3 linked regions of the Drosophila melanogaster genome follow. The protein of the gene in region 1 interacts with the protein of each later gene in a pairwise test. Each region holds a gene or a part of one and is shown in the gene's direction. Other genes may lie near its edges.

Region 1 (3,556 bases):
GACACCAAGAAGCTTTCAGCTATTAAGGAACGCTGCGCATCTCAGTCCTTGTTCACTATCCGCAGCAGGCGATCCATCAAGGAGCTGACCAAATCGCTATACCCAGGAGACAAAATACTTGACGGAAGAAGCCATCATCCAAAGGCTGGCCACAAAAACTGCATTTCGTCCTCAAGCATTGTGTCTCGTCGCCATGGTTGGAACTGGACAAAAAGTTGCGAGGCACGGAAGAATGGCTGGCGGCCAGGTGCCATCCTACGATCCTCTGGCCATGTGATGCGTCACTTCCTGATGCGAAGTAGAGATCCGAATATGTGCGGCAAGGTAACAGCTGATTACGAGGAACAGAAACGATTTGGCCATCCCGTGCTCAATATTTGCAAGCGAAATGGTAATATATTCGTAACCCTTCGTCCACTGCCCACTTTGGGTATGAAACAGAAACCCATAACGTTCCGGATCGTCAAGAGCGATATGGCGGTGGCACTGCGCCAGATCAAGCGTGCTCTCAAGGATCAGGGCTTCGAGAAGTGCAAGTGCCACCAGTCCCTGATGATGTGCACCTGTCGCGATGCCTTGGATAAATTTCACCTGAATAAGGCTCTCAAGAAAGAGTGCCAGAAGCGTTTTATAGAGCCATGTCCCGACCACTTGGTGCTTACCGACACAAGTGAGAGCGATTTGGAGTTCGATCTGGATGTGACTCCGCCGGCGGGAACTCGTAGACCGAAGCGCAAAGCCCTTAGGAACGTGGTGAATCATAGCACCCAGACTGCAATGAAGGAGCCACCAGTTATACCGCCTCCATATCCAGTAGCCCACAATCACTTCTATAGGGCCTACGATTGCGCAGCAGGAGATCGGTATATGGGCACAGCCTTCGGCGATAATATAGAGACCGTTTTCGAGGATGGAGTCTTTGGATACCGGGGTGGTGGCCAGCATGGAAAGCCCGTAATCTGGCGACACCCGAAGGTGTGGGGCAAGAAGGCCCAGGCACCACTCCCGATTGGAACCGCTAGGAACGCCATCGATCCTTACCGGTATACCAAAAATGTTTGGAAAGAACTGCCGCGAAAGATAATACAAAAAATGAGAGCAAAATCAAGGAAATAATTGTATTCTTTTATTAAAAGTCAAAATGTAATAAGCGTGTTTTATTTCTCTTAAGCTACAATGGCAGCCGTTTGGAATTATAGGAATTAGTATAATAGTATTATAAATAATTTTATTTTATATTAGGGAGCACATTTTTTGTGATTGTTAATGACGCAATCCAACTTGTTTTCAAAGTATTGCTAAAATTCTATTAATACGAGCATAAGAATTTGATTAAATATGCTAATTATATAGAAATTATAAACTGGTCTCAATCGACTGCAAACGGTAGTATAAAAGCGCCATGCCAACTGTTAGACTGTATTCATTAAAGTTACCAAAATGAAGATCTTCGCTCTGTGCGCCTTTTTGCTCCTCATCCTGGCTGCCGTCCAGGCCAATAGTTCTCCTGAGACCAGTGCGATCTCTGAAGGGAACCTTAAGAAAACTGCTGGATAATTTATAATTTCACGAAAGCTACTTGAATATTGGAATAAATATTCTATTTAGCAGCAGAATTTGTTGTATTTATTTGTATGCCCTTGCAGAGGGTATAATGATTTCAGACAGAAGTTTGCAACGCACTAAGGGGTACATTTGCAACCATTTAAAATATGTATAAATAATAAGTATTAACAGCAGAGTGTATATAGCCATATAGTCATTTAGTTATCCGTAAGTCCGTTTTTGCTCAAATTAGTCACATATTTAAATCTTTACATAAAATTGTTGTTTGAATTTAATAAATACGCATTACTGCAAATGTATATAAGACGGAAGACAGTATTGGATATATATTATTATAATATTATAATATTGTGAATTTTCGAATTCTAAAGAAATGAAGTTAAAGTTATGTTTATGATAGTTACTAATTATGAAAAGAAGATTTATAGTTTCTAAGAAGTAAATTCCATTTAACGTTGACTCTTCTGTCATACTATACTTCAATTTCCGACAAAGGTTATTAAATTAAGAATTAGCAGTTACTTGAAAGTTGTGTTCGAAGGACACAATGCTGGATATTTTACAAGAACCAGTACATCAGTATGGAAATCGGAGCCACCAGGCGGAGTGTATTCCGCTGGGAAGATATACAGCTTACGGATCGGAAATCGGACAGGATGATCCAGACAAGGGCTTGGGATTCTGCAGCGCCAGCATCCGGCGAGGATTCATCCGGAAGGTGTACCTCATCCTGTTGGCCCAACTGATCACTTCCCTGGTGGTTATAGTTTCACTTACTGCTGATAAACGGGTGCGTCTGATGGTGGCAGAAAGCACCTGGATATTTGTGGTGGCCATACTAATAGTGGTCTTCTCTCTGGTGGCTCTGGGCTGCAATGAGGATCTGCGTCGTCAGACCCCAGCTAACTTCATCTTCCTATCTGCCTTCACGATAGCCGAGTCCTTTCTGCTGGGCGTGGCAGCCTGTCGTTATGCCCCAATGGAGATTTTCATGGCCGTGCTAATCACGGCGTCAGTTTGCCTTGGACTCACCCTTTTTGCTCTGCAGACGCGTTACGACTTTACCGTCATGGGTGGCCTCCTGGTGAGCTGCCTGATAATACTGCTCTTCTTTGGAATTGTGACCATCTTCGTGGGCGGACATATGGTCACCACCATATATGCCTCATTGAGCGCTCTGCTCTTCTCCGTTTATTTAGTTTACGATACACAATTGATGATGGGAGGCAAGCATAGGTACTCCATTAGTCCCGAGGAGTACATATTCGCTGCCCTAAATATTTACATGGATGTAATGAACATATTCCTGGACATTTTGCAATTAATCGGAGGATCCGATTAGTTGCATGAAATCTCACAAACACACAGATTATTTTACATCTGCAATTCGACGTCGAGTATTAATAAATCAAATTCAGCAGCAAGCCTATTTTACATTTACTTAAAAGCCTAAATATAGGCTTTAAAAATTTGGATATTTTTTATACAAAGCACAGTTGCCATAAATAATATAATTAAACTTGTTTGCACAAACAAATGCAGAAATAACAAGAATGACCGGTATTCAATGATCGCACCTGTTCATAATCGCTAATTAACGGGCAACCTATATATTGAAATACATTTCGTATAATTTAGTGTTTTGTGACCCAAAAAATAACGAAAAATTATAAAAAAAAAGATAACTGTAAACGGTTACGATATTAGGTATATAAGATCTTCCAGCACCTCAAAGTGTATCAAATTTTGAAACGATGAAGTTCTTTGCTCTGTGTGCCTTCCTCCTCATTGCCCTGGCTACCGTCCAGGCAACTCCCGGTGATCTGCGCCATGTTCCTGTAGGACACGGAGGACACCCAGTCAATGCTGGCCACGGACCTGTGGGACACGCTGGTCCTGTTGGACACGGTCCAGTTGTAGGCCATGGTCCAGTTGTAGGCCATGGTCCAGTTGTGGGACATGGTGTTCATGGTCATTCTGGCTGAAAACT
Region 2 (5,133 bases), on another chromosome or scaffold:
GGCTTAATATGCAGGGAGATATGCTGGTGAAAAAGACGCAGAGTTTGAGAAGCGATACAGTTGAAATTCGATAGGTAATGTTTTTTTCTCAGAACCAAATACAGTACTAAATACTAGTACTTTCTTACTTAAGCCCAGCTACTATCTCAGGAATACAAATAACTTAAAATGGAGAGGGAAAGCACTTAAATACCATTTAAATCATATATCACAAATGCTTGCTAATCTTTCACAAGAAGTTCTATCGTACATGCAGTGCTCAGCATTTCTCCTCCCTGCTGACTGGCTCGTTATAGACCGCCTTCAGTGGCTTGGCTATTCTCATAATATTTTTGAAATATTATTAATGCCGGCCAAAAAGCAGGCAACACACTGCTGGCCATCTGCCAAGCGGTTTCACTTTAATCCACAAAAGTGTATCATACTTCGGGGCCGCTCATAAATATCAAATGGAAACGTGTGTGAGTGTGTCTGCTGGCTACGCTTTTAATTAAAGAGCACCGGCTTTTAGCTCGATATAATAAACTGAAATATAGACAGACCAGCAGGCAAGCGTGGCAAGGGGGTGGGGGTAGCGGAAAAGGGGTAGCGGAAAAGGGGCAAGCGGGAAGAAATTTTATAAATTGCCATGACAAGCCCTCAGGCCCCGGGCCCTAGTTTCACTCAGCTCTCCGCAGAAAACCCATTTTTTGCCATATTTTCCCCCCATTTTACCCGCCACCACCTATCCCAACCATCAACTCTTGTTACAACATTTCAATTAAAAGTTAAACGTGCACGTAATTATGCGGACTACAAGGAAAATGTGTAAGTAATATTCCGCTGGCGCTGACTGAGCGAAAAGCGCATGGCGAAAATTAATTAACCAAAATGCGTTAGGCGAAAAAAGAAAAAGCTTTCGTAAAAATTAGACAACGACCAAAAAAAAAAACTTTGAAAAAACTCCTGTGACCTAAAATGAAACCTTTTTTCCATGGCCCTGCGTTTTTATTTATTTAATTCGGCCAGAAGCGCTCGTGCATGTGATTGGTTTTTCGAAGCTAAAGCTTAACCCCGATTTTTTTCACTCACTTTCCGTGAATTAACACCCACAAAAGCCGGAAAAAAAGAGATCAAAGCAAGACTGTTAATTGATAATGTAAAAAATTGAAATTGCAGCAAAAATAATTGAGTGCCAGGCCAACAGAGTTCTCCCTACACACAAATAAACCGAAGGGAGATGTGAGAATTGGATGTCAATTTCATTTGCCCTTTCATTGTAGGTACCCATATGTACATACCTACAAACATATGTCCATGAATTCTAAAAAACAATTCCTCAAGTTACATACAGATAGATGAAATGGCAAAAGTGGATATGTGGATATGTGAGGAAAAAAACTAGAAAGGGCAACGCGGACTAAGTAACTGAAATCGAAGGAGCACACACTCCACTTCTATGGCATGAATTATTAAAAAAGAGAAGACATTTCCAGCACTGAACGAAAAATGCAACTCTATTTCAAATGATAAAAATAAGCAAAACACGCCATTTTGAAGATACTAAAACCGTTTGGTTTACATTTATTTTGAAAAAAAAAAAACCAGATAAAAAGTTTTTTTTTACTTTTTACGAGGCGAGGAAAATATTGTATAATATTACTTTTAATTTTAACTAGTAATCAATTTTTTTCGATGCAGAACCTGAAAATCAGCATGTGTGACCAAAAGAGATTCAGAACAAAAGGAGGCGAGTGGATTGAACAGCGATTAGGGCAAGCAAACACAAGAATTATGGCAAAATCAACAAGAAGGAAACTGGGGGAAACAAAGAAGAGACTGGAAACGAGAAGCCCAGGCTTAGGGTTCAGAACAAAAACCCCAAATCGAGGTCGGGAATTGATAACAGCGGAGCAGCTGTAGCCTAAAAGCTCGAATTTGGCGATGCCGAGGCACAAAAAATTCATGAGCAGCAGCAAACAAGAAAAGAAAACAAACCAAAGATAAGTGAGTTGAGGAAAAAGAAGCAAAAATAAAATTTCTCGACATCTAAGTCGTAAAAATTTAAATATGTTTGTGCGAAGCCCACACAAAAGTACTGGAATTAATACAGTGGAAACAAGCTTAGAAGGACGACTTACATGTACAAGTCAACTAAGGTCTTCCAAAATAGTTTAAACCAGTTAAATTCAAGATGAGTGAAATATAAAATGTAGTATCATATTTTTTAAGTTTTATAGTCAGGTGCGTAGGAATAAGCGCTGTCAAAAAGAAAGTATATATTTGAAATTAGCAACTAGCAGTAGGTATAGGCCTAGTCCACCTTATTCACTCTCCACTGTATTTATTTCTAATGATCGCACGTCCGAGCTTAGCTTTGTTTATCAGCTCACACTTTGCTCTCAACCCACAACAGCAACAAAAAAAAAAAAAAACAAGAACAACAATGACGACCACGTCTCAACCTTCGACAAGCTGGGATGCGAAGTAAAGCCCCAGTTTCAGTTCCAAGTCGACACTTGAGCGGCGCACAACTCAACGGTATCAAGTGAAATCCGCGAATCAAAGATGATCATTAAAGCCCTAGCGATCGTTTCGCTGTGCCTGGCCAGCATTCAGGCCTCCAAGGTGGGAGCTCCGCAGTTGCCCAAGAAGCACCTGGTCTGCTACTACGATTCCGCCAGTTTCGTCAAGGAAGGTGGGTACATTCCGCATGGTTTTACATGGTATTACTTACTTTGTAATATACTTTGCCCTCTTAAATATTATATAACCTCCAGTGGAAGTTGCTAATTAGCAAAAGTAAAATAAGAAAACGAAATCGAAAACAACGACTAGGCTTATCAACAAATACTCGGAACTCGATTTGTTTAGTTTGTTTGCAATTTGGGTCGAGTGTGGAAGCGATAATCGAAAAGTAAATCTCACCGAGACTGGTCGTAAATTTAAAATAATTGGCATAACTAAAAGCTTTTCAATTGCAACAAAAATGTGTGAAAGAAGTCTTTATTTAATTTTAAATAGATTTCTTATCTATTTGCCATAAACTATGTATTAAAATGATGACAGCACTATAAGACAGAATCCAGGGTTTTCCCAGTACGTAAATCCCTTCTCCTAATCGCCGAATCCGCTCTTTAATCTAGGTCTGGGCAAGCTGGTAATCGATGAACTGGAACCGGCTCTGCAATTCTGCGACTATCTGGTCTACGGCTATGCCGGAATCGAGCGCGATTCGCACAAGGCGGTGAGTCTGAACCAGCAGTTGGATTTGGATTTGGGCAAGGGACTTTACCGCACGGTGACCCGCTTGAAGCGCAAGTATCCCAATGTCAAGATCCTGCTGAGTGTGGGTGGTGACAAGGACATTGAGCTGGACAAGGATGCCAAGGAGCTGCCCAACAAGTATCTCGAACTGCTCGAGAGCCCCACAGGTCGCACTCGTTTCGTGAATACCGTCTACTCGCTGGTAAAGACCTACGGATTCGATGGCTTGGATGTCGCCTGGCAGTTCCCCAAGAATAAGCCGAAGAAGGTGCACAGTGGAATTGGCAGCCTGTGGAAGGGCTTCAAGAAGGTCTTCTCCGGCGACTCGATCGTCGATGAGAAGTCCGAGGAGCACAAGGAGCAGTTCACCGCTCTACTCCGTGATGTTAAGAACGCCTTCCGTCCGGACAACCTGCTGCTCTCCACCACTGTTCTGCCCAATGTGAACTCATCCCGTTAGTATTCCCGTTCGCAATGTCTAGAGATTTAAATTTTAAAACGAATTCTATCAACACAGTGTTCTACGACATTCCCGCTGTGGTCAACTATTTAGACTTTGTGAATCTGGGTACCTTCGATTTCTTTACACCCCAGCGTAATCCCGAAGTTGCCGACTATGCCGCACCCATTTATGAACTGAGCGAACGCAATCCCGAGTTCAATGTGGCTGCTCAGGTGAAGTACTGGTTGCGCAACAACTGTCCCGCCAGCAAGATCAATGTGGGCGTGGCCACCTACGGTCGCCCATGGAAACTGACCGATGACTCTGGCGACACTGGTGTTCCGCCGGTGAAGGACGTCAAGGACGAGGCTCCAGTGGGTGGTAACACTCAGGTGCCTGGCATTTACAGCTGGCCGGAGGTCTGCGCCCTGCTGCCCAACCAGAACAACGCCTATTTGAAGGGCGCCAATGCTCCGCTGATCAAGGTTCAGGATCCTGCCAAGCGTTTCGGCTCTTATGCCTACAGGGCAGCCGATAAAAAGGGCGACAATGGCATCTGGGTGAGCTTCGAGGATCCCGATACTGCCGCCGATAAGGCCGGCTATGTGCGCACTGAAAATCTGGGTGGAGTCGCGCTATTCGACCTGTCCTACGATGATTTCCGAGGACTCTGCACCAACGAGAAGTACCCCATCCTGAGGGCCATTAAGTATCGTCTGACCAACTAAAGTGGGAGTCCAATTTGATTTATGTATAGCTGACCATGTGAAGAAAATGCTTGATCAAGAAATATATTTGTCCCATTTATATTTGTAATGTCATAAAGTGCCTCAGAACACATAATGGTTTCAGTTCATTTTTGGGTGTCAAAGGAAATATGCTCGGGTTAATTTATATCAGTTATGTGCTACTGTTCAGTTTGGTACACAAAGGCACATATAATATAAATTTCAAATTTGGCAAATAATTATTGATTGCCTACGCAATTTAATTGAATACCGAATTCATGTTCGAAATATAAATTTCGCTATCGCATCTTCTTGGTTACACAATTTTATGTATCGATTGTTCGTTTCAATACAGCAATAATTTGCGACACGCTGTTCATAAATTACACAATCCGAAGACCCAGGGGAATATTTAGGCATTCGCTGCGGCTTGTGCGCCAATGCTGTTTATGCTCCGATGAATAGCCAGAATCCAATTGACTTTGACAGAAAATACTTAATCGGCTTCATTATTAAAGCAACCAGAGTGGCTGACACCCCCATCGAGCATCGAGTACCCAACAAAGCTGGCAACGAAAGCTCCAAATTGACTGCTCAACATTTGTCATTGAAGCGAAAACGTCGAAAATTTCGCATACGCAGCGTATTACACACACGGAACGCGTAAGCTATAGCTCTGTGCTATGCACGATTTCACAACTACAACCATTGGCAGAC
Region 3 (3,273 bases), on another chromosome or scaffold:
TATTTATCTGCAATTGATTGTTGATTTATTTTCGGGAGGAAATAAAATAATATACAGGAGGAGAAATGTGGCTAGAATGAATGGTGTTCGTGGATTTATGTTGGGCAATATGAATTCAAGTCTACTTATGATGTTTAACTCATGAAATATCAAAATAAAATTCATCTTCTGAATATCACCATAACTATGCATAAATGTTTGCACTGTCAAAACTTTAACGATCAAGCAATTGAATCAAAGAGAGAAGAGATATTTTCTTTATCCCAATCATATCGTCATCTGTCTGCAACTGTCCAACCATTTGGTGCTTCCCTCGGTGAAAAGTTTTCAGATTTGTTTGCGTGTTTCGCTGGGGCAAAGTGAAGTTGCAAAACCAAATCGGGCGATCCGAGTCACAACTATCAATTAAACTAATTAGCTTGATTTCCCAGCAGAGTTGCCCGACCGAAGGGACACGCCCAAAACTTTCGCCTTGGCTCTCGGCTTCCTTTTGGGCTGCGGTTGCGCTGGAAAATTCAATCAGCGCGTGCAGAAAAACGCAATCAAATGATTAAGTCAACAAATGATGGCAAATTGCTGGGGCCGCAGCTGGTGCCGGACTTTTGGGATGCACTGTGTGCGGAAAATCGAAGCCAGAAAGCAAAAAGTCGCCGCAGCGGCCAATGAGGTTGTTTCAACTGAGGTCTTTCTCAAAACTTTGCTCAGCTTCTCCTCGGGGATTCCCCTTTTTACCAGAGTTTTTTTTTTTTTTTTGTGACAGCAGCAGAGCGCATTTTAAGCAGGTGAAAAGCGAAAGAAAACTTTTAGTTTTCTTAATGAGTGTGGTACTTTGGCTATTGATTAAATGGAGGTTGCTGCCAGCTGTTCTCCCATCTTCTTTTTCTGCTGTCCAACATATTTTAGCCATTTTTATGGCCCAGCCTGCTTTTTGGTTCACATTCAAATTCAATTGACTGGGCGTGGCACGTGCTACAGGGTACATATCTATCCATCTATATCTATATCTACTAGTGAGTGTGTGGATGCCTCCTACGGCATATTTATTCCCTTTTTTTGGTTCGATTGCCTGGCAGGAAATTTATTTATATTCAATTTGTGAATTTATGCCACTTTTTCTGCCGGGGAAGATGGCGACAATGCCGGGGGAAATTCACTTTGGTGCAGTTGCATCAATGGGGCAGGAAGCAGGCTATGTGAGAAGTGCACTAGGCGAAAATGTGTCGGGGATTCGGGGCTCGGGGGCAAACTTGATGGGCTTACTGAGAGCTAAACGAGTGGATATTCTGATAAGAGGATTTCGAAGAGATTCTAAGGAGCAGATTGTTGAAAAATATATTTAAAAATGATTTAGATAATATTATGCCAATGAAATATTGGTAGATGGAAGGATGAATAGTAAAGCATAAGAACCCAAAAGACTAACTTCTTGATTATATGCACGAATTTTGATATTAAGATGAAGTGAAACTTATTGACATGCAATAAGAATGAAGATACTTTTACTTGCAATATTTGTTTATGGAAGAGAAGCAGTTACAATGTAGCATTGGAAGTATAGTCATACAAATGTGGACTTCATTTTAGCTTGAAATTTCTCGCTGTGCCGCACAGGACCTTTGTTAGCATCTTGCTCAGACTTGCCGTTCCGTGGAAGGAAACTTAATGCTGTATTTACGGCCACAGATGCAGATACTTCTGCTGATGGTCCGTTCGTTGCCTGTCGTTGAGGTCGATACCGAATGGATATATTTTCCGCAAAATCATAAACACATTTGGTCGCTGCCGTTCTGGCTGATTACCTAATCTGAAGGACTAAATGCTAAATGTACCATTACCTGGTAGTTTCCTAAGGTACAGTTCTATCCCGTGAAAAACCAGCGGTACCTACTGGTCTACCTAGCCATCCAACAGAAGGTACTTAGGTAGAGGAAGGTTATCTGGGTATAGTATATATAGTGCGATTTGGCTGGGAATCCTTCATTCCGTCGATGTACTTCCACAGCGATAGTCAGCCCCGAATCGTCGTCCGTTGAGAGCGTGAGTTTTTGAGTCTGTGATAGTTAGACCCAGTGCCAAGTGCCCAGGATGTTATTCCTAGCGCCGCGCAAACATCTGTTTGCCACCAACCTGATCATCCTGCTGATGATCTACTTGATGCGCAAGTGCCTGCAGCTCTTCTGCATCATCGAGAACCGCGCCGTTCATCCGGCCGAGGAAGAGGAGAAGGAGGTCAAGTTGCCGGAAAGGGAGATCCTCCAGAAGCGCCGCGGCGGCTTCACCATCATCCCAGCTGCCATGCACCAGAGCATGCACGGCTTCGGCTACGGCGAGGGTCACTACCAGATCTTTGTGGAGAAGAAGGAGCGTAACCTCCCAACCAAATCGCGCCTTAACGCGGCCACTGCTGAAGTCAAGCTGAATCCCAATTAGTTAGTTGCCCGCGACCAAAGGGAACCACTGACATCCCAGCATGTCAATGACAATGTGCCAATTGAGCCCAGCAAAGCAAAATCAAACCCAATCCACAAATATCCCTCTACATCCAAGTCTTCTTCAATAGTCTAAATAATATCTAATGCATGGAACAACAAACACTTATTTTGTACAGTCATCAAAGCGCATTATTGGCCATAATAAAAAATGAAAAAAAATAGTTTTTATAGTTTCGTTAAATTCCTTCTCTTGGATGTGATTATGCACAAAATTTTCGCTTAGTTCTTATTAAAATGTTTTACTTGTAGTCAATTTTGATTGACTTTAAGGTGATCTGCAACTGTTCTGCTTACTTCGATTTTTACTTTGAGGCAGATTTCTATAGCGACTGAAACGGATTTTATTCCACTTGAAAAATGATATCCTGCGGAGGAGACGTCCTCGCTGATCGCGTGGGTGTTGCAGCAACATTAAATGGCCCCAAATTTATCACAAAGTAGCAGAACGCCCATGGAGCAGAAGAGGATGGGAATTGGGGATAGGCGGAGCTGGAGTTGGAAGATGGGACTGACTGGCAGCAGCAGCAACAATGTCAGACAATATGCTGAAGTAATTTGCAAATACTCTTGCCAAAAGGGGCGCAAGTAAGGTATATGTATTAATATGCCCTAAATTATTGAATTAGTTTAATGTGGCACTATATTTAAATTATGAGCGCAATTAATTATTAGTAGTACATAGTTTGTATTTATCGTAAAGCTAATTTACATTTAATAATGGACGCAATAACATTTTATATATTTCTCGCTGTATTTATTATTGATGTCATCTATTACGTTA

What was found.
Region 2: the proteins of Recs1 (region 1) and Idgf6 interact in a two-hybrid assay, tested with the Drosophila melanogaster proteins (one large-scale study listed by BioGRID).
Region 3: the proteins of Recs1 (region 1) and CG8960 interact in a two-hybrid assay, tested with the Drosophila melanogaster proteins (one large-scale study listed by BioGRID).

What each region holds. Positions count from the first base shown.
Region 1 is NT_033777.3:14,152,317-14,155,872, reverse strand, and holds Recs1 (Recs1), read left to right. Parts: upstream 1-2,043; 5' UTR 2,044-2,113; coding exon 2,114-2,908; 3' UTR 2,909-2,988; downstream 2,989-3,556. Other genes in the region: CG31533 (uncharacterized protein), read left to right, coding at 1-1,116; CG44215 (uncharacterized protein), read left to right, coding at 1,441-1,557; CG42500 (uncharacterized protein), read left to right, coding at 3,321-3,551.
Region 2 is NT_033778.4:16,689,223-16,694,355, forward strand, and holds Idgf6 (imaginal disc growth factor 6), read left to right. Parts: upstream 1-1,799; 5' UTR 1,800-1,986; intron 1,987-2,395; 5' UTR 2,396-2,547; coding exon 2,548-2,677; intron 2,678-3,125; coding exon 3,126-3,701; intron 3,702-3,763; coding exon 3,764-4,416; 3' UTR 4,417-4,529; downstream 4,530-5,133. UniProt on the Drosophila melanogaster protein: Probably required to stimulate the proliferation, polarization and motility of imaginal disk cells.
Region 3 is NT_037436.4:2,195,455-2,198,727, forward strand, and holds CG8960 (uncharacterized protein), read left to right. Parts: upstream 1-1,558; 5' UTR 1,559-1,941; intron 1,942-1,976; exon of another isoform or gene 1,977-2,002; 5' UTR 2,003-2,085; coding exon 2,086-2,430; 3' UTR 2,431-2,635; downstream 2,636-3,273.